Linked DNA regions of Canis lupus familiaris. The protein of the gene in region 6 interacts with the protein of the main gene of each other region in a pairwise test. Links are inferred from orthologs where the notes say so. Each region holds a gene or a part of one and is shown on either strand. Other genes may lie near its edges.

Region 1 (2,822 bases), on a different chromosome or scaffold from region 6:
AGACCATCTCTGTGTCCCCCTTGCCTTCCTCCTGCTGGCATTGAGGCCTCGGGCTTCGAAAAGCACGATTTCCCTTCTAGAATTGGGGGTGGGGGACTTGACGTGGACCCAGGTCAGCCAGGAAGGGCTGAGGGGTCGCGGGTACCGGAAAAGGGCGTCGCGGGGGGGGGGGGGCGGGGGGGGTCCTGATCCACAAGCGGCTCGCAGGGGAGGGCAACCCCGGGAGCGGGCGGCAGACCCGCGGCGATGGAGGGGCGGCTGAGACACTGGCCCCGCCCCGCGGACCCCGCGCGGGTCCCCAGACGGGGGGTGGCGCTGCGGGCGCGGGCGGGCGCCGCGCGCACTGCGGTCCCCGCGCCTCCGCCGCAGAGCGCGCCACGCTCCGCACGCACCTGCCGCCGCGCCGCGCTGCCCAGAGCCCCGCGCCCAGCGCCCCTGGGAGCCCCGCCGCGCCGCGCCATCGCCCGAGGTCGCCGCCGGAGCCGCTGGAGCCGCTGGAGCCGCCGGAGCCGCCGGAGCCGCGGGAGCCGCCGGGCCGAGGCGCGGGCGTCGCATCCGGGCCTGCCTTTGAGACAACCTCTGCGGCGGCGGCACGGCCCGGGGACGCCAGGCTGGGGCAGGTGAGCTCGGGCGGGGCGGGGCGGGACGGCCGCGGGGTCGCCACTCGCAGCCCCTTCCTACCGGCCGGGGTTGGGCCTTGGGGGAGGAGGCTGGGTCCGGAGTCTGGTGAGGATCAGGGTCAGAGGTCGGGCGCCCCGTCTTTTGTGTAGGGTGAGGGTGGGCCCCGGGTGCTGCCCTCACGCCGTCTCTCACCTGCAGCCCGGGCCTGGTCCAGGCCTCTCTTCTGCTCCCGCTGCAGCCGCCGCCGCTGAGCCCGCGGCCTGGGGCCTCCCGCAGCCAAGGCTCAGGCTAGCTGCCTTCCCTGGGCGCCCTGTCCTGGAGCCATGGGGCCCACCTAGCCCCCGCCTGCCCGGATGTCCCTGCTCGGGGGCTGCTGACCTCAGTTGCAGGGGGAGTCCCCCCCACGCCCCCTCGCCAGCCTCAGCAGCCGGAGACCCTGGGTGAGCCCCTGGGCCAGACCTGCAGCCCAGGGCAGCCTCCCCTACCCCCCTGCCCCCGCCTCCCTCCGCCCCCCCCACCCTTCCCTCCTCCTCCTAGGACTGGACCAGAGAAGCCACTGTGGCCACTGGGGGGGGCCCTGCCCCCCCAGCTCTTGCCGGCCGCCCCCAGGAGTCCTCGGGGCGGCCGGGGTCCCTACCAGGCCTGGCAGGACCAGGATGCTGCCCCCTCTCCTCCTCCCCGGCCTCACCCAACACCCCCACCCACCCGAACACCCAGTCTGACTGGGGACAGCCGGATGCCGGCTGACCCCGGGCCCGAGGTGGGCAGTGGCTGGCCGGGCTTCCTCATGTCCTGCCTGAAGGGCCCCCATGTCATCCTCAAGATGGAGGCCATGAAGATTGTTCACCCTGAGAAGTTCCCTGAGCTGCAGGCGGCTGCCCCTTGCTTCCCACCAGCACCGCGGCCCACCCCTGCCCTGGCACCCAAACGCGCCTGGCCCTCAGACACAGAGATCATCGTCAACCAGGCATGCGGAGGGGACATGCCTGCCTTGGATGGGGCACCCCGCACTCCTCCCTTGCCGCGACGGCCCCGAAAGGGCAGTGTGGAGTTGGGCTTCCCCCGAGTGGCACCAGCGGACGAGGTCATCGTGAACCAGTATGTGGTGCGGCCTGGTCCTGCCACCTCAGGGGCCCCTGCCACGGCGGCACCAGCCTCAGGTGAGCCCCTGGAGTGCCCCACCTGCGGGCACACGTACAACGTCACCCAGCGGCGGCCCCGAGTGCTGTCCTGCCTGCACTCTGTGTGTGAGCAGTGCCTGCAGATTCTCTATGAGTCCTGCCCTAAGTACAAGTTCATCTCCTGTCCCACTTGCCGCCGCGAGACTGTGCTCTTCACGGACTATGGCCTGGCTGCACTAGCTGTCAACACGTCTATCTTGAGCCGCCTGCCACCTGAGGCACTGACTGCCCCGTCCGGTGGCCAGTGGGGGGGTGAGCCGGAGGGCAGCTGCTACCAGACCTTCCGGCAGTACTGTGGGGCCGCGTGCACCTGCCATGTGCGGAACCCGCTGTCTGCCTGCTCCATCATGTAGCACCCACCGGCTCACCACTGCCTGCCAGTCCTTGCTCGCCGCTTCTTCAGGGATCCGGCCCTGCCCTGTCGCCTGTTGACCCCTCACCCACCACAGCTTCTGGCCCCTTCCCATGTGGCATTGTCGCTGCAGCCAACTCCGCCATTAAAACTCTTTGCCAAAGTTTGCACCTTGTTCCCTGGACTGAAGCCTGAGCTTGTGGCTGAGCCGGGGGCTGCAGCCCAGACAGGGTCCAGCCTGGAGCCACTGAAGGCAGGCTCAGTGTTGCTGGGGGTCAGCCCACTGTGCTGACTGGTGCCAGCCTGGGCCAGGGCAGCCACTCAGGAGGGCTGGGCCTAGCTGTGTGTATGCATGCGAATGCCTCCCACACCTGTGTGGAGCCAGCCAGCCTCCTGTGTGGGCTGCTGGGGCAGATGTGCAGAATGGGCAAAGGGTGGACATGTCCTCTGCACTGGCCACTGGATGTGGGGGCAGCTGGATGGGGGACACCAGGCCCCTGGTTCCCCTAGACCCTCTGAAGTTGAATGGGAATGGCCTTTGGGCCAGACTGAAGCAGGGTTGAGATAGGCTAGCTGAGATCGTAGTGGGGTGGGAGGACCCCATGGCAGAGTGGGGGAGAGAAGGGTTGGGGAGAGCCACAGGGCATCGAGGAGGCGCATAGACATGA
Region 2 (4,010 bases), on a different chromosome or scaffold from region 6:
CTTCTGAGTACCTGAAGAAAACAAAAACATTAATTAGAAAAGATACACGCACCCCACACATTCATTGCAGCACAGTTCACGATGGCCAACTATGGAAAGAACCCAAGCGCCCACGATGGATGAATGGATAAAGAAGAGGTGGTGTGGAAATAGAGCGGAACATCGCTCACCCAAGAAAAGAATGAAATCTTGCCATTTGTAACATCAATGGACCCCAAGGGCAATAAATGAAGTAAGTCAGAGAAAAGCAAACAGTATAGGATCTCTCTCATATGAGGAACAGAAACAAAAGTCAGGACATGAGGAACCCCAGCGAGCTCATCCATAAGGAGAGCAGGTGGGTGGGTTGCCTGGGGCAGGGCGGTGGGGAAAATGGATGGAAGAATTGAAAAGAGAAAACCCAAATGAATCGCAGCTACTGGTGTGCTTCTCCTAAAAATGAGTCTGCTAAAGACCCTTTATATCATCTGATGCCCAGACACCCTGCGTTTTGGCGGCCGCCCTGCCAACCTTTTGCCTCGTTCCCTGCGTCCACCTTTTCCCTCGAGCACCTAACCCCACCTGCCCTGCCGCAGACTTGACCCGTCGACGCCGCCGCGAGGTCTGCGAGTGGTTTCCCTCCCCGCTGCTAACAAGGCCGACTCCCAAATAGGAAACGAGTCATTATAACGGGTGACATTTATTGAAAGCTTTCTGACGGCATCATGAGCCCCGCAATCCTCCTCCGAGGCGGGCGCTTCAGGGAACCCAAGCTCCGCAGGGTCAGTTGGGGCTGCACCGGATTTTTCCCGGAATCCCAGGGGCCCCAGGATGACGTCAGGGCGCCCCGGCCCGAGCCCCGCGGGGCCGCGTCCCCCAGCGCGTGTGCCCGAGGGAACCCCAGCGCCGGGCACGGGCGCGGCTCCACTCGGCCCCGACGCCCCCACGCAGGCCGAGGCTCGGTGGCCCGGTCCCACCGTCTCCCATCGCCGCCTTGGAGAACGCGGTGCAAGGAGCGCCGGCGCGGCCTCGGGCGGGAAGCGCGCTCGTCGCCCCTGGCAACAGAGTATCCGGAAGAAGCGCCGAGACGCGCCGCGAGCGTACGGAGCGGCCGCCGCGGGCCAGCGAGGCGCGGAGAGCTAGAGAGGCACGCCCGGCCGATTGTCACGTGGGCGGCCGCGCGAAGGCGGGACTTCCGGCGGCGAGGTATTTTCTTTCCGGTTGTTCGCGCCCGCCGGCCCCACCCCGACTGGGCCCTGTGCCCCCCGCCCCCCGCGGCCCCCCGCCGCCGGGCCCGCCGCCACCATGAAGAAATTCTTCCAGGAGATCAAGGCTGACATCAAGTTCAAGAGCGCGGGGCCTGGTCAGAAGCTCACGGGGTCCGTGGGGTGCGTGACCTGCGCTGGGTGTTGAGGCCCGGGAGCAGGGACGGGCGGGGGGCCAGAGGGGGCTAGGGGCGGGGGGGAGACCTCTGGGGGCGGGGCACGGGGGGCGGGGGGCGAGGGGGCGAGGGTGTGGGTAGCCTCCGGGGGCGGGGCGGGGGGCGAGGCCCGAGAGGGCGGGGCTGGCGGGGGCCGGGGGGCGGGGTTGCAGGGAGCGAGGTGGGGGTCCGCGGAGAGGCCGCGGGGCAGCGGGTGGGCGGGGAGGGCCCTGAGGGGCATCGCCTAGATTCGGGGGAACCCGAGGGTTCGGAGGTCGCAGCTGGGGTCGTGAAGATGCAGAGGCGTAGCGTCCGCGGCGGTAGCGGCCCGGCCCCGGTGGCGGAGGGAGGACGGGGTGAGTGTGGTTCGGCCGGGGAGCCCGAGGCGGTGTTGGAAGAGGTCTCGGTGGGGCGAGGAGCGGGGGTCCGAGCGGTTGAGGAAGGTCGGGGAGGGACGCGGAGGCCGGCTGGTGGAGGTGGGGAGCTCGGGGCCTCGTGCCGGGGGACATGGGGACCTTGTGGGCGAAGGCTGAGTCAGGAGGGAGATCCTGAGGCCGACGGAAAGAGGGAAGGTCGGGGAGTACACGCGCAGGCCTCTGTGGACGGAAGGAAAGGGCCTGGGGCCAGTCTGGGGAGGAGCCGGAGGAGCTGGAGCTGGAGCAGGGGCCGTCGGAGGCGGGCCCCGGTGGGCTGGGAAGGAAGCTCCTCTGGGGGTGGTACGAGCAAAGGGGGTGTTCAGGGATGGGGGCCCTGGGGACTGAGTGGGGTCTAGGACGGGAAGTGGTGGAGAGGGAGGCTGTGAGGGGTAGGCGGGAGAGGCAGGGCGGCAGGGGAATCGTGGGGCAGCGGGGGTGGGTGAGGGAGAGCGCGTGCATGACATCAGGGCATCCGTCATGGGGATCCAGGGTTCCTGGGACTGGGAAGAAGGAGCCCCATGAGGGCCAGGTTCCTGAGTTGGGGAGGGAGGCCCAGTGGACTGCATCAGGTCCTGGGAGAGAGGAGGGCAGCTTAAGAGAGGGCGGAGTGGATCAGAGGGGGAGTGGACCATACGAAGGCTTCCACTTGGCCTTCAGCAAGTAGAGGAGGGAGGGGAGGCTGACGGAGCTGGGATTGAGCCTTCCAGGAAGGGGGGGGCCGCGGGGGCGATGGCTGTGTCCACCAGGAGGCCTGGGAGGAGAGAAGAAGGAGGTAGCGTGGAGATCCAGGCTTCTGTGACACACTTGGGGCAGGCCTGGGGCTCAGAGTGTGTGACAAGGACTGTCATGGGTGTCTCGGGTGTCGGTCTCAGGGCTCGCCTTCCAGTGGGGAGAGATGGACAGATAAACCAGTGCACATGTGGTGAGAGATCAGGTGGTACTCAGGGCCAGGAAGAAATATAAGCTGGGTCAGGGGACAGCAAATGAGGTTGGGGACTGTTAGGGCATCCCAGAACACCTCTCTGGGAAGGAGACATCTGAGCCGAGAGCCAGAGGAGGTGAGGTTCAGCCATGTGGAAATTAGTCTTCTTCACACACACACCCTGAAGCAGCCCCAGCAGCTCCCAGACCTCCTTCCTCATCTTACATGCAGACAGAACATTCCGGGCAGAAGGTGCAGAATGTGCAAAAGCCCTGTGGTAGGACCCAGTTGGGCCTGTGGGAGCAACAGTGGGAAAGCAACGTAGATGGAGAGGTGTGAAGGCAGGGAACGGGCAGGTTGTGAAGGGGGCCTCAGGATTGTGTCGGGCGTGTGGTGGAAGGGCTTGGTGCAGGAGCGACAAGCTTGGGCTTAGGTTTTAGAAGGTTTCCCGTGGCTGCCCAGGGGAGCCTGGGATGGCAGGTGAGGTGTCTTAAAAATGGCTTTTTTATAGAAGTAAATGTCACATGGGGCTAAGGTGGGGCTACGGGATTCATCTTTTGTGCAACCTGAGGTGGTTAGCTGAGGGCAGAAGGGCAGGGATGGTCAGGAAGCAGGTCCCAGAGGCCTTGGGACATGAAAAGCGGGCCACCTGTGTGTCTGAGCAGAGCAGGAGGGGTGAGGCCACGAAGCCAGAGCCTTGGCTAATCAGAAAGCTCTGCGGGTGTAGTACAGGTAATTCCAAGTCGTGCGGTCAGGAGAGGTCTGGAGGGAAGGAGGAGAGGCAGGTGACTCAGCAGGGTGTGAGGGAGGACTTCCCGCAGGGGAGGCAGGTCGTTTCTGTGTTGAGTGCACCCGGGAGCACGCAGCCCGTGCTTGTTTCCCAGGTGTGACCATGCGGCCTGGCACAGTCCTGGGCATGCGGCCCGTGCGCCTGGCTGTCCTGGCCTGGAAGGGCTGCTCTCACTCAGGAGGGGGAGTCAGGAGAGGAGTGACGTCTTTGAGTCTCATCGGTTTCTGAAGGCGACAGGGCGCCTGTTCACATGCTGCACCAGGCGGCCCATGTGGGGGGCTGCCATGACCCGAGGCCTTGCCCGCGCAGGACGTGCCCTGAGGGGCAGAGCTGAGAGCAGGACTGCCATGGGGCCGCGGGGGCTCTTCTGTTAGAACCCTCTAGTGGCCGCGGGTGGCCCCTGGGAAAGAGGGATGGTCTGTCCAATGGGGCAGGAGTGGGAGAGGGACAGAGGCGCTTCTGGCTGACCTCCTGTCATCTCAC
Region 3 (4,035 bases), on a different chromosome or scaffold from region 6:
TATATCTCATGCAGCACTGTTAGCTATAGGTCTGGGGTCACACATTACATCCCTAGTACTTAGTTATCTTGCAACTGGAAGTTGATATCTTTGGACCACATTCCTCCATTTCCCCCTCCCCTGATCATCCACATCTGGTATTGGATCTGGATTTTTTTAAAATGCTTTTTAAAAAAAATATTTTATTTAGGGGGTGCCTGGGTGGCTCAGTCGGTTGGGCATCTGCCTTCGGCTCAGGTCCTGATCTCAGGAGTCCCACATCAGAGCTCTCTGCTCATCAGGGAGTCTGCCTCCTCTGCCTCTCACCCCTGAACCCCCTCATGCTCTCTCTCTCTCTCTCTCTCTCTCTCTCTCTCAAAGAGAGACAAGCAGACTCCCTGCTGAGCAGGGAGCCTGATGAGGGGCTCAATATCAGAGCCCCAAGATCAGGACCTGAATCCAAGGCAGATGCTTAACCATCTGAGCCACCCAGGTGCACCTTTTTTTTTTTCTTTAAACAAATGTCTCCCAGAACCTAGAGCAGGGCTGCCACATAGTAGATGCTCAGTAAATATCTGCTGAGTCAAAGAGACAGAGGTGGAAGTCCATTAAGTGCTTCCTAGCTGTTGTTAGCCTTGTTCTTAACTATCAGGCTTCTTGGCCTCCAGACCAAGGCAGGCCTGGCCCCCACCTCTGCTGCTGAGATCTGACAGATACCAACTCCCAGACCAAGCCAACACTGAAAAGGGCATCTCCTGTGTACCTCCCTACCCCCAGTTGTACAGCGGGGGAGCTGAGGCCTACAGTGGGAGCTGGGCAGATGGCAAGGCCAGGAGAGGGCCAAGGCCTCTCGTGCCTGGATACCCACCCTCAGTTTGAAGTCCCTTTGCCTGATAGAAAGCCTCTGTTGTCTCAAATGGCAGTCTCCTCTGGCTACAAGGTGATCATCTCCCGGAAGGCATCAGGCTGGCCCCAGCCTCCAGCCACAGCAAGAGGGGCCCAGGAAGATGGGTTATCACAGTCTTTCACTGGCCATATGGGAAAACTGGGCCCCAGGGCCTGAGTGGCTTAGATGTTGAGCGCCTGCCTTAGGTCCAGGGTGTGATCCTGGAGTCCTGGGGTCAAGTCCCACGTTGGGCTCCCTGCATGGAGCCTGCTTCTCCCTCAGCCTGTGTCTCTCTCTCTGTGTCTCTCATGAGTGAATAGATAAAATCTTAAAAAAAAAAGAAAAAAGAAAACTGGGCCCCGGAGAGGGCACCTGGCTGCCCGAGGCCTCGTGCCTGTGGCACGTGAGCTGTGGATGGATCCGGTTTTCTTGGGAGCCTTTCCTGACCATTGTTCTGCATGGGGATCCCCTTTCAGCCCAGGACCTGTGGGAGGCCCCATCTTCATAGGTGCCTCATTTTTCCCCCCCGCAGACCCATAGCAGGTTTCCTCCACAGGAAGGGGGTACGTGCCCTATTCTCCCGAGGGTGCTCTGTGCCCTCATTATTTCTGCTCCGGAGCCAGGAGCCGTGAGTTGGATCCAGAGGAGTGTGAAGGTAAGAGAACCTCTCAGCCTGATTCCGCCATGTCCTTGCCCTGGGCCGAGTCCCTTCCTCTCTCCGAACCTTAATTTCCCCACAGATAAAGCAAAGAGGCTGGATGGCCAGTCTAGAATATTCTGATCATGACTTGTCAAAGATCTTGGTGCCCTTGGTGCAGCACCTGGGATGGGTCAGCTAGGCAAGCACTCTCTCGTCTCCTGTTTGGGAGACACCGGCCACACTGAAGTGGGATTTTGTGTCCTACCCCTCTCCAGCCCTCCGGGCTCTTGCTCGTGACCCTGGCTGGCTGTTTCCGTCCACCAGCCTCCAGGTAAGGCCTTCTTGCCTCTCTGAGCCTTTATAGGAACCCACACCAAAGCCAAAATGAGGGAGAGCCATTTGAGGAGTGAAAAGCCTCCCTCAAAGGTCAAGGTGACAGTCCTTCCTCTCCGGTATCTAGGATCTTAGCAGGGTACCCAGCCTGGGCTTCTCTGCCATCTGCAGTGGACAGTGGAGTGGTGACATCACAAGGGAGAGCCAGCCAGGGACACTGGGCCAAGAGGGAACTTACTGATGGCTGCTTTCTCTCTTTCTTTTTAAAAAATATTTTATTTTTATTTATTTTGAGAGAGAGAAAGAGTGTGTGTGTGTGGGGGGGGGGGGTTGGGGGAAGGGCAGAGAGAGGCAGAGAGAGAGAGAGAATTTCCAGCAGACTCCTCTCTGAGCACAGAGCCTGATGCGGGGCTTGATCCCATGATCCCAAGATCATGACCTGACCGAAACCATGAGTTGGACACTCAACCCACTGAGCCACCCAGTGGGTGACTGCTTTCCATATGTGGTTTCATTGAGACTGCTCTGGCAAAAGAGGGTATTATTCTCATTTTACAGACAAGGAAACTGAGACCCAAAGAAACCATGGGCCATGTCTAAGGTCACACAGCTGGAAGTGGCAGTGCAGGGATTTAAACCTTAGACTGCCTGGGACTAGGACCACCTGGAAAACCCAGGAGCTGTTGTCACCAGGGTCACATCCTGCAGAACCCTGGGCGGCTTGCTGACTCTAGGCTCTAGCACTCAGTTGTTTATTATTTATACTCCCTGACCACTTCCAAAAGTTTGAATCAGTTTCCTGGAAAGATGTGTATGTGAAAGGAATAGCCGAGAATCAGCAGCACAAAGCTTTGGGGGCAGCCAAGGGCCCGGCAGGACGAAGGATGGACACATATAGCAGCTCCTACTAACAACCGATCAGTGACAGCGTCACAGAACCCTGGGGAAGTCACCTGGTTCCTGGGAAGCCTGGATATTTGCAGATTGCAGCTTGTGGAGCACTCACAGGGTACTGTGCTGAAGTGAAAGTCAGTCCTCTCCTCCCTCTGCCCTGGGGAGTCCCCACAATGTCACGGCCCTAATCCCTGCACAGCATTCATTTCATCTGGAGTCTTCCCCTTGCCCAGCCTCTGCTTTCTCACCCATGGGTCCCTGTGAAACAATGGAAAGAGGGTGTAGGGTCGGTGTCAGAGACACATGGGGGCATTGAGTCCATCCCACCTGGGGATGCGACTCTGCAAAGGGATATACTGCTAGGAGCAGCTTCCTCATATCTGAATTTGAGCCAAGGTGGTGGCATCAGCCCAGTATCCGTTCCCTCTTCTGCCAACAGCCTTTGGGGGTTGCCCTTCCCTCACCCCTAGTCCCTAGGGCTGACCCTTCCTCCTAGGCTCCAGGATGGGCGGGGACCCCAGCCTTGCCTATCTTACTTTATCTCCTGGCCACAGTAACTGATCAGGAATAGCTACATGATTTAAGCCAAACCAAGTTCTGGCCCTTTGTTGGGAAAGTGGCAGAGGTGGAGGGATGCACTCTCCTCATGGTCATCTTACTAGAACAGTGAGGATGAGACACTGGCTCTTGAGGAAATTGTTTGGGCATTGTGATCCAGCTGTGCATGAAGCTGGTACACTCTAGACTTGTCTGTCAGTAACTTAAGCTTGAGTTTAGATCATTTAGAAAACCAAGAATCCTCCTATTGATGATACTCCTTTATAAGCATGAGAAATTTTGAGCAATTTTCATCAAATATTAAGTGCTTCTGCTTACACATGGGCACCAACACTTTTTTCCCACTAAAAATATATTATATTGGAAAAAAAAAGTCATCCATCATGTACTCCACCATTTTTTTCTTAAATAATAATGAAATAAAATACAAGCCTTTGGTTGGGTGAACAAAAATTTATCAAATATTTATTGAGTGCCTTTGTTAGAAGTTTAACAGATGTTTATGTGACTCTCTGTTGCCGGGCGCTGTTCTAGCCCTTTGCAACTATTACTTCATCAAATCCTTATATTATTATGCCCATTTGAGAGAGGGGCATGAAGAGTTAAATGACTTGCCCGAGATCAAGTTCCAGGTCCCAGGATGGAGCCTGTCCACCCTCCGATGTCCTTGCTAAAGAGTTTCTTCAGTGGAAAGATCTCCCCAGTAGGAAGTGCCCTCTGCGGCCATAGACTCCCTGTCCCACCC
Region 4 (4,179 bases), on a different chromosome or scaffold from region 6:
CAGCTATGGGAGAACTTAAAAAGCAGGCGAAACATGTACTGTTTCTTGGACTCCAGGTAACATACCTGCAGGAACAAAGCCACTTGAAAGAATACCACAAATATCCTAACTACAAAATTCTGAAACCGTCCGTTCAGGTGTTCCCTCCCACGGATAAATGGGGTTTCTACCCCAAGGAACGCTCCGCCGCCGCAACGTTTTTAACTTTGTTACGGACGCACCACATAAAATTCACGCTCAGGAGTCAAAGTGCTATTAAAACAGCCAAGATGATCTCTTGGCGAGTTGTAAACTCTCAAACTCTTTTATTCGGCTTCCCCCACCCCACCCCAGCCGCATCGCCCCTAAAATTTACAAACCCTAATCACCCAGATTCGAGGTCTTTGACTCATCAGAGAAGAATGCAGCTGATGAGTTATCTATTAATCCAGAATGCCTCAGCTGGAAAGAGATCGCACCGAGAACTTTTAACACTGAAAAGGGAGGGGGAGGGGGCAGGGAACTGAAGGTGTCTCCCCGCCGAGAACTTTCCCCGAGTTCCTTCCTTCCTCACGCCGCACGCACAAACACCCCCCACTCCCAGCCCCGGTCGCAGACTCGGTCCCGACCCTCTGGGTCCCAGGAACCGGAGGTCACCCGGGAGTCAGCTCTCGATTCCGCTTTTAAAATCCCACGCAGACAAAGCTGAGCATTATACTTAGCAAACTCCGAAAAGTCCTCAAAGTTACGCAACTTTAGAAACGCGCTCTGCGAAGAGACCCCCCCCGCCGCCCCCCCCCCGGCCCGGGGCCACAGGTCGCGGCGAGGGCCGTGCCCAGACCCCGGACTGCGGCGCCCAGGTCGTGCCCCCGCCGCAGCGAGCCCCCCGGTACCTCTTCCTCCTGAAGGTTGGCCTCGCTCGGGGTGTTCTCCTTCTCGGCTTTGCCGCCGTTGTTCATCTTCCCGGTCCTTCCTCGCCGGGCAGGGCTGGGGCGCGGGGCTGGGGCGAGGGCGCGCTCGCCCGCTTGTCCCTTCCCCGGGCGCCGGGGCTCCCTCGGGCGGGCGCCGCGGGCTGCGGGGGCTGGAGCCGGGGCAGCGGCGGCTCGGGCTCCGCGGCGAGGCGAGGCGAGGCGACCCAGGAAGTGCGCGGGAGACACGGGGCAGGGCGAGGCGCGGGCCGGCGGGGACGGAGACAATCGGGACCGGGAGGGAGACCTGGAGAGCGCGGGCGGGCGGGCGGGCGCGAGGGAAGGAAGGAAGGAAGGAAGAAAGGATGGGGCGCGGGCGCGCGTCCCAGGAGGGAGCCCAGAGAGTTGGGGATGTGGCCGCGTCGGGGCTGGGGGCGGCCGCTGCCCGAGCCTGGCGGGGGCCGGAGGGAGGGGGCGAGGGGTGCCCAGACCCGAGGAAGAGGAGGAGGAGGAGGAGGAGGAGGAGGAGGAGGTGCGGGGCGCGGCTGGGACGCTGGGACCCGGAGAGCCGCTGAGTGCGCGCTCCAGGCAGGCTCTGAGAAGTACGGGATCCAAGCAGCTCCCTTTCTCTCGCCCTCCTCCCTCCCCTCTCTCCTCCCCCTCCCCCTCCTCCTCCTCCTCCCTCCGCCCTCCCTAGACGTGGGCTGCCAGCTTCAGCCCGGAGGGACGGGACGCGGGACGCAGAAGCCCCCCTCGGGAGGAGGGGCCGCCCGCGGCCGGATGGCGCGCGCCGGGGAGGGGCGGGGGGCGGCGGGCGGAAGCGGCCGACCCCAGCCCCCCGACTCGGCGGGAGGTCGGAGGGCAGGGGCCGAGGCGGACGAGGGAGGGAGGCCAGGTCCTCCCGCTTCCCCGGCCCCCGGGGGCCCCCGGAGCTGGCGAGCTCGCGCGGCGGTGCGCGCCCGCTTGGAGAGGGGCTTCGGGGCGCCGGGCCGGGCCCGCGCGACGCCCGGGACGCGCCGTGGGCTACCGCCGTGGGGATCGCGCCCCCGTCGCTCAGCCTGCCCTGCCTCTGCAGCACCGGCTCAGACCTATTTCCTCCCTTCCTACTTGGCAGCTCGAAATGACAGGATGCGAGAGAACGAGCGAGGTCCGGGGGCAGCCGGCTCGGGGCCGGCGTTTCCAGGGCGCAGCTTCAAACCCACCTCCCACGCCGGGCCCTCCCAGGCTCTCAGCCCCGGCCTTCGCCCTCTGCTAGGCTTCGCGCCCCCCTCTGCTCAGGCCCCTCTCTCGGCCCTCAGCAGACCGTCCTGGAATTGCTTACCTGCCTGCCTCCCTCACCCTTCCGGGGGAGCCTCCCCACAACGCAACGCCAGCCTCACCGTGTCCTTGTTTACCTTGATAATCCCACGGCTAGTTAAATACGCTACCGGGTATACAGTAGGCACTCAATAAATACTTGTTGGCTAAGTGACTGTTGCTCACGGCGAGCCGAGCTGGAGGCCAACCCAGATGATCTTCGGAGGGTCAAAGCCCCTTAAGGAAGAAAAAGGGCTCAGCATTCTGGGAGGGGGGCACCCAGTACCTGTTTAAGCACCACGCGCCAGAGGACTGCCTGGGTTCCGTTTCCTCACCTGCGAAATGGGAGTAGTTATAGTTACCTCCCAGGGGGGTTGTAATTAGAGGAGATTATAGGTTGGTAGAGCTAGAGCACCCAGCACTCATTCCTGCCCGGTGTAAGTTTACAGAACAGGGAAACTAGCATTATTATTAAGGAAATTTCCATTTTCCCGGGGCCATAGAGAGCTTCTCCATTCCTGTATCATAAACACATAAATTTAAAAGGGCCTCTATCAGAAGATTCTCCCTCACTTCCCACGCCCAGGAATTCTCTCACACGACATGCTGTTCCTTTCCAGCACAGTACCAATCACAACTTCTATTTATTTGCTCGCTTCACTGTTTATCTTTCTCTGCTCTCCCCCCTCCCCGCCAGACATTCTTCACCCTGTACTGGTTTAAGTGCTGCTGGGGGTGGGGTGGAGGTGGGGGTGAAGATAAGGCTCCTGCTTCTAGGGAGTTTTAACTGGTGTTGTGGAGACGAGACACCCAAAACAACTCCATGGCCACATGATCAGCGATCCTGGTTCAAATAGCAGAAAGCAGAGAAAATACTTGTGTGACGAGCGTTGTGAAGAAAAACAGAGTGGTAATTCTTGCATTCACTTACTGGGGTTTTCTTGGGTTGGGGGTGGGGGAAGTCTGAAGCTTTTGATAAATAGGTTTAATTGCTGTCAGGATGTCATGTGCCTCTGTGGGGGGGGTGGGGGGAAAGCGTATCCTGGATGAAAATAAACCAAGAAACTGTTGAACTTGCAATGGAAGTTCAGAAGAGGCAAAGGCCACCACGATTAATCTGGAAATTTGGAGAGCCTTTCCAATCCCAGTCCCTCCCTCAATTACGTAAAGAACCACGAGGGGGCAATGTGTTCCTGAGCAATGGCTGCGTGGTGGTCTTGGGCCCCTGCGCCACCAATAAACACAGGCCCTTTGCCCTCCTGGGCCATTGCCAGGTACTGAATACACTCCACAGAAAGATATTGTCTTGCTGGAGCCTGGCAAAGGCCCAAGAAAAGTGACAGTTGATCTAGTCATTGATGATTCCAGTCAGACTCCACTTACAAGTCGGTGGAAGGTGCTGTATGATTCCAGGATGCTGCTGCTACCTCCGTCCAGGGAAATGTGGCCTAATTCCAAATGTAGAACCTGATTCTTTTGCCAGCACTTTGTCCATTGTTAAAAGTCAAAGACATCTGGCATAAAAAAAAAAAAATAAGGGCTAGAAGAAGATCTTTGTCTGATTTGATCGTTGTGTCCCCAATATCTAGACAGTGCCTAACACATAGTAGGCTCTCGGTGAATATTTTTGAATAAATGAACACAGTCTTATCAGAGATTGATTTTCAGCCTTGAATGACATCACATCTTTACAAAGCCCCTGCAGGAGGGACTGAATAAGTGGAAGTGTCTCAGCATAGGGAGCCACCACAAGGACACTAGGCAGATTCATGGTAGTAGTCTTTAGGCATTATTTTGCAGGGGAGACCCACCTAGATAGAGAGCTTGCTCAGAATGAGACAACTGATGAGATTTCAAAAATAAATAAAATTGCAGGTATTTGGATGGCTCAGTGGTTGAGCATCTGTTTTTGGCTCAGGTCATGATCCTGGGGTCCTGGGATCAAGTCCCGCATCAGCTCCCCTGCCTGCTTCTCCTTCTATGTCTCTGCCTCTCT
Region 5 (4,073 bases), on a different chromosome or scaffold from region 6:
AAGAGTGCAAGGAGCCAGAGAATTCACAAACTGAATAAACTGAGACCTAAACAACATGTTATTTAAATAACTTGAAAGATGATGGACATCTTGTCATCTCAAGTTTAATACAATGGCCAAGTTACTGAAGCTACCAAGCCAAAATGTAAAACTAATTTGTGAAAATAAATAGTTTCAGGAACCAGGATTCTACCATTAATAGCCGTTGATAAAGTTTACAACCCAGCAGTTAGTAATTCTCATCAAGAATTAACTAATGTTCATTACCTGATCCCCAGTGATGCTATTGATAAAGAGCAATGGAAAATTTGGTGGAAGAAGTGGTGAATCAAGCTCTCCCTTCCATGTGCTATATTTCATTGGAATATGAGTAAGTATGAGTGGTAGGAGAAACGGAGAGTTGGGGGTAGTACTAATCATCAAAATGGCATTTGATTCCCCAAATGTGGGGAGTCACTCTAGTGGGTTGCTTCACTGTGACTCAAGATTTGTTAACTGAGGACATAAGGGAATTTGAGTAAAGCCAGTAGACATACTCCTAAATTTTACACTGAAATGTTCCAATAAGTCTAGGACAAGATTTAATAAGAGTCACCTATAAGAAATTAACCTACTCAACATAATCAGATTCTAAAATACTTTTTAAAGCAAATTCTTGCTAAGGCAAAAATTCAGGAGAGAAGTCTGGGGACGTACTTTCCTAAAAGTACATGCCACTTATCTATTGGAAGAGGACATTAAAATATACTATTAGGTGTTTAAACCAATGTATCATTCCCCTGTTCTTAAGAACATAACCTTATTTTTCTAAAATAAAAGGTAATTACCTAAGAGCATCAATTAGGCATGTACTTCCCTTCTCAATATCTATAAATACAAATACATTTGAATCTTTGTTGTAGACCATGTGCCCAAATGTTACATGGCAAACAACTGTGGTAAATCCACTGCATTATGAACAGGAGCAAATTAACAATAGCTCCCAAAATGGGAACTATCCCCTTCTCCCCAAAGGGAAAATAATTTCCCCAACTTCTCCAATTACATCCCAAAGAATGCAGAAAGAAGGGCAGCCCCGGTGGCTCAGCGGTTTGGCGCCACCTTCAGTCGAGGGCCTGATCCTGGAGACCCAGGCCCGAGTCCCACGTCGGGCTCCCTGCATGGAGCCTGCTTCTCCCTCTGCCTGTGTCTCTGCTTGTCTGTCTGTCTCTCTTTCTCTCATGAATAAATAAATAAAATCTTTTAAAAAGAGAGAAAATTAAGGAAACAATATTCACAGAAGTTTGAATCTATAAATTTTCAGTGCTAATAACCCAGCCTTCACTTATAACCAAGCTTTCCTATCATACTGATTTTTTATTGGATCAAATCATGCGTCTTGGAGGGCACAGCAAAGACTAAAATGGCTCTAACAATTCACAGCGCTCATATTTCACCATTTTCGCCTTTGTAATGACCCCAGAAGCGACAAATCTGATGCATCCACCCCGTTTCTTTCTCTCCACTGATTAAACGGATCCTGCACTCCAGCCACGATCTGCCGCTAGTTTCTCCCACCGCACGTGCCCTGCGCCCGCGCACGCGCGCGCGCGCGCGCGCGCACACACACACACACACACACACACACAGCCTCCAACGCACTTCACGGCCAGGGCCAGGCTGTCTAGAAATCCGCACTGTGTCACTGCATATACGGCAGGTTCCCACTTCACACATCCAGGAAGAAGAAAGCCCCCCACCCCCACCCCCACCCCCACCATGCGCTTGCCAGGTCTCAGCAAAGCCCGTAACAGGACAGAGGAAGCTGCTCAGCCAAGAGCGGGGCAGCAACCATCACCGCCTTAAAAAAAAAAAAAAAAAAAAAATTTTTAAGTGGTTTTCCTGCCGTCATGTCACCTCCCCACACACACACGCACACACACACACGCACACGCACACACACTGCAGTTCATCCCCCAGCTTTGCATGTGGAAGGCGGCGAGCTCCGGGCTGCCCCTGGAAGGACAGCCGGCCCGCAACTCACTCGGAGCCCCGCGGCGCCGACCGGCTCACCTGCGCGCCCCCCGCCCCCGCCCTCGCAGCCCCCCGCCCCCCGAGCCGGCGCCGCGGAGCGCCCAGCGGCCGGCCCAGCCGGAGGGGCACGCGCCCCGCCACCTGACGGGATCGGCGGCCCAAGCCCCAGGAGCCCCCTCCCCACACACGCCACCTGCGCGGCGCGGCCGGAGGCTGGACCCCTCGCCCGCCGGGAGGGATGCGCTACCTTTGGACTGGCAGTCGGCACAGAACTTGTTGTCCTCCTCCAGCAGCAGGTTGGCCAGGACCGCCTGGTACCGATCCACGTCCTTCACCGACTTGCCGGTCATGGCCAGGGTGCCGCCGGGGGCAGAGGGCGACGCGCCCTCCCCGCCCCCCCCGAAACCCCTGCCCAGTCGGGAGGTGAGGACTCCCGGTCCCCCGCCCAGGGGCACCTCCTGAGCGGGGGTGAGGGGTGAGGGTGGGGGTGGGGGTGGGGGTGGGGAGCCCTCCCTCGGGCCGGGCCCTGCGCCCCTCCTCTCGTCAGCCGCGCCCGCCCCCCACTCTGCAGCCCCTCAGCGCGGCGCCCCCTGGCGGGCTCAGGGAAAGGCCCGAGTCCTGAGGAGGCTGCCGGACTTAGAGACCCTCAGCCCGGGCAAACGGGGCGCGCAGAGACGCCCCCCCGCCCGCCCGCCCGCCCGCCTGTCTGCCTGTCTGCCTGTCTGTCTGTCAGTCTGCCGGCAGCGGGTCCCGCGCCTCGGTTTCCCTGGCAGCTGCCGCCCGCTCGGCCACCACCTCAGCCGCCTACTTCCGGCAGCTCTTCCTCTCCACCTCCGCCCAGCCCAGCCCGCGCATGCGCCCCGCCCCTACCGCGTCGCGCCGGGCTCTTCCCTCGGCTCCGCCTCTCGGGAGCCAATCCGGCGGCGGCGAGGGGCGGGGCTTGGGGAGGGGGCGGAGCGGCCACGCCTCCCGCGCGTCCTTGGAAAAGAATGAATGGAGCCGCGCGGAAAGCTAGTGGAGGGAGTGGAAGCAAGGGAAGGACCTCGACAATTAACACTTGCGGAGTTCTTGCCCTGTGCCAGGCTCTGTGTTAAGCGCTTTATACGAATTATCCCAGTATAATCCTCAAAACGTGTCTGTGAGTTAAATATTTGTCATTCTTATGTAACCTGAAGGTTGTGGCTACTCCAAAGTCATCCAGCTTGTCCTTTTCCTCAACAGCCAGATGGAGGGCCCAACCCCCTAATCCGGGATAACGGGGACAGCACATCCTCCCCAAGTTTTCAGAGGATCCTGGTCACCTCTCACTGTTCCCACTGAATTCTGGGTTCCTCTGTTCATTAGATTTCCTGCCATCTTAGGGCATTGTTTACCTGGTGCCTGGATACTTTCATGTCTTAAATCCTCCCCAAACAGCGCAGTTCTGTGCGGCAGACGTTCACTAAAGGTCATGTGGAGGGATGTGCTAGAGAGGAAGGGTGATTACAGCAAAACACACGATAGGGAACTACTTAAAATGATTATTAAGCATCACTGTCCAAAGCCACCCTCACTACACAGAACCCCTCCACAAAAATCCTCTTCTTGGGGAGGCTGGGTGGCTCAGTTGGTTAAGCATCTGACTCTTGGTTTCAGCTCAGGTCATGATCTCAGGGTCCTGCATGGGATTAGCCCTGCATGGGGCTCTGTGCTCAGTGGGAAGTCTCCCTGAGGATTCTCTCTCCTTCTCTCCGCTCCTCCCCTCACTCACCCTCTCTCACTCTCTCTCTAAAATAAATAAATAAATCTTAAAAAAAAAAAAAGTAGTTTTTCTTTAGGGATTCACCTGCTCCCTGGCTAATGTTTTCATTCATTCATTCACTCAGATAATTGTTACTGAGAAACTTCTAAGTATCAGGCACTAGGCTAGGGGAAAGGGGAACAACATGATCCAATTAGTGGTTTTAAAAGATCACTGGCTGCCGTGGGAAGAATGGGTCAAGGAAACTGATTAAGACCAGATGCTCATAGTTCTCTCTAGTAAAACCCTCCAGGCTCCCTCAAAACTTTCATTTCATCAG
Region 6 (4,010 bases):
AATTAAAAAAAAAAATTAAAAAAAAAAAAAAGAACATTGTGTTCTGGGCAGCTGGATGGCTCCTTCAGCCCAGGGCGAGATCCTGGAGGCCTGGGATTGAATCCCACGTTGGTCTCTCTGCATGGAGCCTCTTTCTCTCTGATGGATAAATAAAAAAAAAAAAAAAAAAAAAAGAAAAAAAAAAGAACATCTTGTGCTGGGGGCGCCTGGGTGTCTCAGCAGGTTAAACGTCTGCATTGGGCTCAGGTCATGATCCCGGGGTCCTGGGATGTGCAGCCCCTGCATGGGGCTCCCTGCTCGGCGGAGAGTCTGCTTCTCTCTCTCCTTTGCCCATCCCTCTGCCGGTGCACTCTCTCTCTCTCAAATAAATAAATAAAATATTTTTTTTAAAAATGTCTTGTGGGGCAGCCCAGGTGGCTCAACGGTTGGGCGTCCGCCTTCGGCCCAGGGCATGACCCCAGGGTCCTGGAATCGAGTCCCACGTTGGGCTCCCTGCATGGAGCCTGCTTCTCCCTCTGCCTGGGTCTCTGTGTCTCTGGTTAACAAATAAACAAAAATCTTAAAAAAAAAAAAAAAGGTCTTGTTTAGCTCCATCTCTGTACTTGCGCAGAGGCGGCGTATCTTAAAATGAAGGTTGCCCGGGGCACTGCTGCCTTAGAGGGTGGCACCCCTGCCCTTAAGGACAGTGAGGGTAGGGACGAAGGGAGAGAGAGGGAGGCTACAGGAGGCGGCAGGCCGGGCCCTGCGCGGGGCCTCCCTCGGGCAGAGGGGCAGCGACGCAAGTGCAGGCGGGCACCTGCCGGCGGGACGGGCAAGGCGGCCAGGACCCACTGACGGCGCCGCCAGCCCGCGCAGTCCAGGGGCCGGGGCCGGGGCCGGGGCCGCCGCGCTCCGCAGGTGAGGTCACCTTGAGCTGCTGCGCAGAGGTGGAAGCAGGTTCCGGGGAGCGGCTTCAGCGGCTCTGCCCCCGAGCGCCCCAGAGAGAGAGAGAGAGAGGAGGGGGGGGGGCGGAAAAAACAAAGGCAAAACCAAAAAAAAAAAAGCCAACAACCGTGTTTGGAGACAATACCTGCATTCGGTTTTCTTCCCGTCGTGGGACGCGGGTGGGGGTGGGAGGGCGAGACCCAAGGGGCGGGGCCGCCGCGCGCCGGGGGGGCGGGGCCACGCGCGCCCGCCCTCCAGCTACTGGACGCCGCGCGGGAGGGGCGGGGCTTCCGGTGGCGGCGGCGCTCGGGCGTCGGGTGACGCGAGGCGGACGGGCCGTCACGTGACACGGAAGTGACTACGAACAGGAAGAGGACGAAAAAAATAACCGTCCGCGACGCCGAGCCGAACCGGACCCGCAGCCACCATGAACAGCAAAGGCAAGGGCAGGGGGCGGCCGGGGCCGTCGGGGGGACAGTGCTAGCCTGGAGCGAGCGGGCCCGGAGCCCGGGGTCGCCAAGCGGAGGCTTGGGGCGCGCTGCGCCTCCCTCCCCGGCCGGCTGCGGCCCCGGGGGCCGCGCCAGACGCCTTCGTCATCCCCGAACTGCGGCTGCTCGCTGCTTCCCGGCCCTTTCCTCCTTAAACTCTGTGGCGCAGTTTGGAGCTGCGGGCTCGGGTGGAGGGGCGGGGGGGTGCAGGGGGGAGGCTTGTCATGATGGGCATCTGCGGGAGCAAATGGGGAGCTAGAGCAGGGATGCGGGTCGGCCAATGGCGCGCCGGCGGGGGCGGGGCTTCGCGCTCCGGAACCAGAGGCCGGCGCCCGGGCTTAACCAGTGCGGCGCCGGCGGGCGGGCCCCGGGGCCCGGGGGCCCGGGGGCGGCGGAGGGGTCTCCCTCCGCGTGCCTCGCGCGGCCGCCCGAAGTGCCCCCGGCTCCTGGGACTGTGCCGGCGTCGGGCCCCACACGGTCCTCCGCTGTGCCTCAGGACGGTTCCCGTTATCCTCCCTCGGGTCCCGAGGGCTCACGTCCATCGCGCGCTGTATTCGGAAGGCGACCTTGAGTAGGAAGCGGCGGGGCAAATAACCCGCAACCTCCGTGACCCAACGAGGTCGCGGCTCGGTCCAGCCAGGCCTGTGGCGACCACCCGGAGCCGGGGCAGCGCGTCCCTGCCGTTGGGCACGGGCAGGAACGGGGCCCCACACCTGCCCTGCATCGATGGAGAAGCTCGGGTGTGCCAGTGGGAGGACTGCCCCGGTAGGAGTAGGGATAAGGGTGCGAAGAGAATATTCTCTCGGCCCCAGAAATCAGCCCCCACCCCCACCCCACCACCCAGAGCGGTCTGTCTACACATCTCCAGCTTGCTGCCCCTAGGGCAGCTACCCAGGATGCTCTGCCCCATTTTGGTGGCTCTGTGTGGTAGGCAACATGCATTTTCTTTTTCTTTCCTTTTTTTTTCTTTTTTTCTTTCTTGTCTTCCAGGTCAATATCCAACGCAGCCAACCTATCCCGTGCAGCCTCCTGGGAACCCAGTGTACCCTCAGACCTTGCATCTCCCTCAGGCTCCACCCTATACTGATGCTCCACCTGCCTACTCAGAGGTGCTTCCAGTTTACTAGACTTGAACCCAGTGCTCTTGGGTCACATCTTCAGTCCTTAGCTAATAAGCCTGAGTCCACGCATATCTATTCAGTGTCCGTAAATAGGAGAAGGGAGGGCTCACGTGAATAGTCTGAAACACTGTACACTTCAGCGCAATTTCTGTTGGGGTTGAGACTGCATCATCTGATTGTTTCATGTTTTTTTTTTTTTTTTTTTTTTGGCACCGGGTGAGGTTAAGAAGATGAGCTTGCGTTCCTTGAGCCTCACGTTAGCTATGGCAGGAAGTGATGCAGGAGGGTACTGAGTGGCAGTGGAAAGGCAGTTTGTGTAACTCAAGAGTGTAATCTGCACAAGGACAATTAAGAATTGAGCGTAGAAGGGATCTAAAATCGGAATGTCATAAAGTAACCTGTTGCCTTCTCTTCTAGCTCTATCGTCCGAGCTTCGTGCATCCGGGGGCTGCCACGGTCCCCACCATGTCAGCTGCATTTCCTGGCGCCTCACTGTATCTTCCCATGGCCCAATCTGTGGCTGTTGGACCTTTAGGTTCCACAATCCCCATGGCTTATTATCCAGTTGGTCCCATCTATCCACCTGGTTCAGCAGTGCTGGTGGAAGGAGGGTATGATGCAGGTGCCAGATTTGGAGCGGGGGCTACTGCTGGCAACATTCCTGTGAGTATGACCTTATCAGAACAACTCAGCTCTTACGTAGTTTAACTTTCTGAAGAGATTACATATTCATCCTTTCACCATCCCTGGGTAATAGCTGTGGTATGGGTATAAGCACTGACATCCAGTAGTTGGGCAGAAAGCAGTTGAGGGGGCAGGAGAACTGTGGCAAGTCAGTAGCATCTGGCACATTCCCTGGGGCCTGAGTTAACCAGATTCCTTTGTTTTCCTATACCTCTTTAAAGCATTAGGAGTCCTGCCTGCTGCTTTTGCAGTTCCACTTTGGTACTGGTCTAGTAATACTCCTTATTCAGCCTGTAACATTTACTTCAAATTTGCCTTCAGTATGGCATTCCATTAAGAAACGTGATAAAAGAAAAACGTGATGAGTAAAAATGGAGAAAGACACATGAGATAAGCACTGTGTGTTATATGTAGGCAACTTGAATTTAAATAAAATAATAATTTTTAAAATCCTGAAAAAAATGAAGAAAGCATAGTCCCCTATTAAGTGGCATTTAGAAAGATACTAGAGATTTTAGTTATGTTGCCTGCTTAGCTCCCCCCTCTATAAGAATTAGAGCCCAGGTGGTCCTTGCCTCAAAGCCATATACCTGAAATGAGGTGAGAATGCCTTTAAATGAGTGGTAGGCTCTTTTCCTGTCTGTACCTTTGGGTTCACAGAGAATATAGACCTGCTTTACAACCCACGTTGGCAGAACTAGCTTTAAGATGTGATTGGTCAGGACACTGCCATCTTTCTAATGGATCCTGTTTCACGTGTGTCCACTTCCCTTGTCTCAGCTGCCCTCTGCCC
Region 7 (3,500 bases), on a different chromosome or scaffold from region 6:
GTCTTAAGACTGGGAGGTTTTCATCTCTCAGAATCTTCCTGCTTTAGGATGTGTGGTTGTTACTTTCACCTAAAAACTATCTCTTATCACTTTTGTCAACCAGAATGCAGGAGTGGATTCCCAGACTCTACCAAAGGAAACGTGTCAGCTTCAATATTTTCTAGAAAAGTTCAGTTCCCTTTCTTTGGCCAAAAAGGAATGGAAAACGGAGGGCCATCAGGATCAACAACAGAAGTCCTAAGGAAAACAAAGTCATCCTTTTACTTTTTTTTTTTTTTTTCCAGGCCGCTACATACGCACCAACCTGAACATGCCTCATAGCTTACCTCAGCGGAGTGGTGGTTTCCGGGATTATGAGAAAGATGCTCCGATCACCGTGTTTGGATGTATGCAAGCAAGACTGGTGGGTAAGTGTCCTGGAGTGATTGCACAGCCTTTCCTGGCTACGTCTACAAAAGACTGGTTCCAGTGGGTATGCCAGGACACTTTCTACAGCTCTCTACAAGTTTCCTACAAGTAGTTTATTTCCCCGATTCAAAAGCGATTTATTTATTACACAACCATGAAGTTCCGAACACTGTGCTTGGCACTGGGCTAGTTTACCACAGTGAATGAGGTATGATCCCTTGAGGGCTGTATGGCCCAGTGATGGGGCAAGGTCAGCTTCTAGTGCAGGGGTGAGGAGGAGAGGAGAGAAGCCTGGAACGGCTAGATGTAGGGAAGCCAATTGATCCTTTGAAAATAGTCAGTTCTGGGGTGCCTGGGTGGCCCAGTTGGTTGGGTGTCTGTCTTCGGCTCAGGTCATGATCACAGGGTCCTGGAATTGAGCTCTGCATTAGGCTCCCTGCTCAGAGGGGAGAGTCTGCTTCTCCTTCTGCCTCTGCCCTTCCCCATGCTTGCTTGCTCACTCTCTGTCTCTCAAATGAATAAATAAAATCTTCAAAAGATGAGGAAAAGAAAGAAAATGGTCAGTTCTTGCAGGTCTATTCCATACATACCAGGTGGAGACAGCAGCCCTGTCCTGTTCAATCCTCTAACACATTCACTGATCGTTTACTTTGTGCAAGGTCCCATGCTAGGTGTTGGGGATCCAAGTGAGAGCCCCTACCCTCAGAGAAACAGCTTAAAAGTGAATAAATATCATACATCTTGAATAGAACTGTGTGCAGAGTATTATGGGAACATAAAACACACACACACACAGAAGAGGGGAAGAGAAGTCACCTGGACAGAGAAGGAGCAGCAGGGTGGGAAGTGTGTGTCTGGTGGGGAGAACCATAAAAAGTCATAGACGTGGGAAGTAACATCGAAAGTAGTTAGAGAAAAGCTCTTTCCTTCTAGACCATGGCTTGTGAGCCACACGAGATAAGGCTGGTGAGCTGGATAAAGAACAAGTTCACAGAAGACCTTGCCCCGCATGGTTATCCAGTAGAGAAAAGAAGCATGTTCCGTGAAGAAAGTGTTGAAGTATCGGGTGTTGGGATTTACCTCTGTTATCTAAGAAGATGACAGGTTGAGATCTTGTTTAGCGCAGGATAAAAGTAAAACAAGATCTAACTGTCACAATATGAACCATCTCGTTTATATCACAAGTGTGAAATCAGAGCATTCTCATGTTTCTGGATCTCTCCTAGATGGATATTTTCCTGCTTGTTAGCTTCAGAGAGAAGGAAAGAAAAAGACAAGAGGGGTCTTCCCTTTGGACTCTTTCACAGAAATGCTGATGAGGGGATGGGCTGGAAACAAGGCTCAAACTGTTGGAGTCTGTGAGCCTCCATTGAAAAAAAGAGGTGTGCAGGGTCTGCCTGCCACCCGCTCCCACGTTAAGCTCCAGCAGAGGCTGCATAAATCCAGCAAGCTGATTCTCCTCTGCCTTCCTTTGCAGGGGAAGCCTTATTGGAGAGCAACACTATTATTGACCATGTCTACTGCTCCCCATCGCTGCGCTGCGTTCAGACCGCATACAACATCTTGAAAGGTTAGACTTGATAAAGGCCCACGGGACTATCCTTCTGCCTCTAGACAGCACTACGCCTAGATTATCCTAGACTTGGGGAACATGCACCAATTGAAAGCTTCACATTTGGAATTTTTAGCAATGATTCTTTTGGAAGGCGTCTGTGCAAGAGTCCCCAAATCATACTCTGGTGGCATAAATGAGACAAAAGGAGGTAGAGAGAGAATTTTTCTCTTGAAAATGTAAAGCCCTCTTGGATGAATGGTAAGCTTGTGAAATATCGTTGTCTGGCAATAATTTGGAGCCTACAGAGTGTGATCCTTTTTTTGCAGTGAAACAGTGAAATCATTTCCTCCCACTCTGCTCTGTTTGCTTCTTGTTTACAGTAGCAACGGTGCTCCTAAGTATCTACAAATCTTAATCATCCCTGTTTCTTTAGTTAATTGGATGACTTTAAAAGCACCGTTGCTATAAAGATCCTCAACTTTCACCCTATAGGGATCTCCATCCTCATTTCACAGGAAGGAAAACTAATAGAAACAGAGTAGAACTGTTCGCTTGTACAAAACAAATGAATGAGCCAGAAATAGCCAAGCCAATGAAGAATTTATACTACCTTGGAGGCTTCTATTTCTTAAGTAAACCAGAATGCATTTATGTATTAAAAAACTGGGCTAAAGCAATATAAAGAAAGCCAAACAGGGACTAGTCGAGTGTGATTACACTTCCATAAAACACCAGACTTGTGCACTGGCACTTGCAAATATTCAAAATTGGATTTTCTGCTGGAGAAAATGAATAATTTACGTGATAACTCAAAAACAGTATAAGCTATTCTGGAGTAGTGGATGCTGAGAGAATTTCTGAAGTCTCTTGGTGAGGCAGTCTTGGGACTTAACCTTAGAAAAAGAAAATCTAGCAGTCACAGAAGTGTATACATTATATGGGTAATGACTTGTGGTTTTTTCTCAAAGTCAGAGACCACTTAGAGCCAGCATACATCCTGTTGGTGTGGCCAGAGTATTAAACTTGTATGTTTGTCACACACGGAAATTAAAACCCCTTGACCAAACCCACATTCTTCCACTTTCCTTTAACCATCTATAGCGACTGGTAGAAAAGAGAATAGAATTTTTATAACAGTTTGGCCTCTGAAACACAGTGCCCATTCCTTCATCTTTGTTTTATTTTACCTCTAAGGTTTACAACAAGAAAATCACTTGAAGATCCGTGTCGAGCCTGGCTTATTTGAGTGGACAAAATGGGTTGCTGGGAACACATTACCTGCGTGGATACCTCCATCAGAGTTAGCTGCCGCCAACCTGAGTGTTGATACAACCTACAGGTAACCGTCTGAGCTGCTGTCTCCCAGAGTCAATGTGGAAGTACTTTTCTACACCAGGTCAGGCTGACTAAGGAGATGAAGGACCAGACCTAGGCCATGGGCAGTTGTCCATATTGGTGGGCGTCAAGTTATGATCTGAAAAACCACAACCGGAGAAAGCCAGCATTCCCTTGTATTTAGTGTGAGTGTGGGTTATAT

Evidence for each region.
Region 1: the proteins of DAZAP2 (region 6) and RNF208 interact in binary tests that used the Homo sapiens proteins (3 or more experiments, as listed by UniProt). The two-hybrid records come from large-scale screens. The link is inferred for Canis lupus familiaris from reciprocal best matches to the Homo sapiens genes DAZAP2 and RNF208.
Region 2: the proteins of DAZAP2 (region 6) and UBXN6 interact in binary tests that used the Homo sapiens proteins (3 or more experiments, as listed by UniProt). The link is inferred for Canis lupus familiaris from reciprocal best matches to the Homo sapiens genes DAZAP2 and UBXN6.
Region 3: the proteins of DAZAP2 (region 6) and BATF2 interact in binary tests that used the Homo sapiens proteins (3 or more experiments, as listed by UniProt). The two-hybrid records come from large-scale screens. The link is inferred for Canis lupus familiaris from reciprocal best matches to the Homo sapiens genes DAZAP2 and BATF2.
Region 4: the proteins of DAZAP2 (region 6) and RBPMS interact in binary tests that used the Homo sapiens proteins (3 or more experiments, as listed by UniProt). The two-hybrid records come from large-scale screens. The link is inferred for Canis lupus familiaris from reciprocal best matches to the Homo sapiens genes DAZAP2 and RBPMS.
Region 5: the proteins of DAZAP2 (region 6) and SMAP2 interact in binary tests that used the Homo sapiens proteins (3 or more experiments, as listed by UniProt). The two-hybrid records come from large-scale screens. The link is inferred for Canis lupus familiaris from reciprocal best matches to the Homo sapiens genes DAZAP2 and SMAP2.
Region 7: the proteins of DAZAP2 (region 6) and UBASH3B interact in binary tests that used the Homo sapiens proteins (3 or more experiments, as listed by UniProt). The two-hybrid records come from large-scale screens. The link is inferred for Canis lupus familiaris from reciprocal best matches to the Homo sapiens genes DAZAP2 and UBASH3B.

Annotation. Positions count from the first base shown.
Region 1 is NC_049230.1:48,434,711-48,437,532, forward strand, and holds RNF208 (RING finger protein 208), read left to right. Parts: upstream 1-1,149; 5' UTR 1,150-1,357; coding exon 1,358-2,155; 3' UTR 2,156-2,322; downstream 2,323-2,822.
Region 2 is NC_049241.1:55,634,193-55,638,202, forward strand, and holds the start of UBXN6 (UBX domain-containing protein 6), read left to right. Parts: upstream 1-1,210; 5' UTR 1,211-1,284; coding exon 1,285-1,367; intron 1,368-1,630; exon of another isoform or gene 1,631-1,755; intron 1,756-4,010. UniProt on the Homo sapiens protein: May negatively regulate the ATPase activity of VCP, an ATP-driven segregase that associates with different cofactors to control a wide variety of cellular processes.
Region 3 is NC_049239.1:52,687,731-52,691,765, forward strand, and holds the start of BATF2 (basic leucine zipper transcriptional factor ATF-like 2), read left to right. Parts: upstream 1-1,235; 5' UTR 1,236-1,520; intron 1,521-4,035.
Region 4 is NC_049237.1:34,777,312-34,781,490, forward strand, and holds the start of RBPMS (RNA-binding protein with multiple splicing), read right to left. Parts: upstream 2,801-4,179; 5' UTR 2,519-2,800; intron 2,421-2,518; 5' UTR 2,282-2,420; intron 1,195-2,281; 5' UTR 939-1,194; coding exon 873-938; intron 408-872; exon of another isoform or gene 393-407; coding exon of another isoform or gene 369-392; intron 1-368.
Region 5 is NC_049236.1:2,683,438-2,687,510, forward strand, and holds the start of SMAP2 (stromal membrane-associated protein 2), read right to left. Parts: upstream 2,801-4,073; 5' UTR 2,364-2,800; coding exon 2,261-2,363; intron 1-2,260.
Region 6 is NC_049248.1:43,029,760-43,033,769, forward strand, and holds the start of DAZAP2 (DAZ-associated protein 2), read left to right. Parts: upstream 1-1,210; 5' UTR 1,211-1,351; coding exon 1,352-1,364; intron 1,365-2,402; coding exon 2,403-2,521; intron 2,522-2,950; coding exon 2,951-3,119; coding exon of another isoform or gene 3,120-3,196; intron 3,197-4,010. UniProt on the Homo sapiens protein: In unstressed cells, promotes SIAH1-mediated polyubiquitination and degradation of the serine/threonine-protein kinase HIPK2, probably by acting as a loading factor that potentiates complex formation between HIPK2 and ubiquitin ligase SIAH1.
Region 7 is NC_049226.1:11,541,256-11,544,755, reverse strand, and holds part of UBASH3B (ubiquitin-associated and SH3 domain-containing protein B), read left to right. Parts: intron 1-284; coding exon 285-407; intron 408-1,885; coding exon 1,886-1,978; intron 1,979-3,157; coding exon 3,158-3,302; intron 3,303-3,500. UniProt on the Homo sapiens protein: Interferes with CBL-mediated down-regulation and degradation of receptor-type tyrosine kinases. Promotes accumulation of activated target receptors, such as T-cell receptors and EGFR, on the cell surface.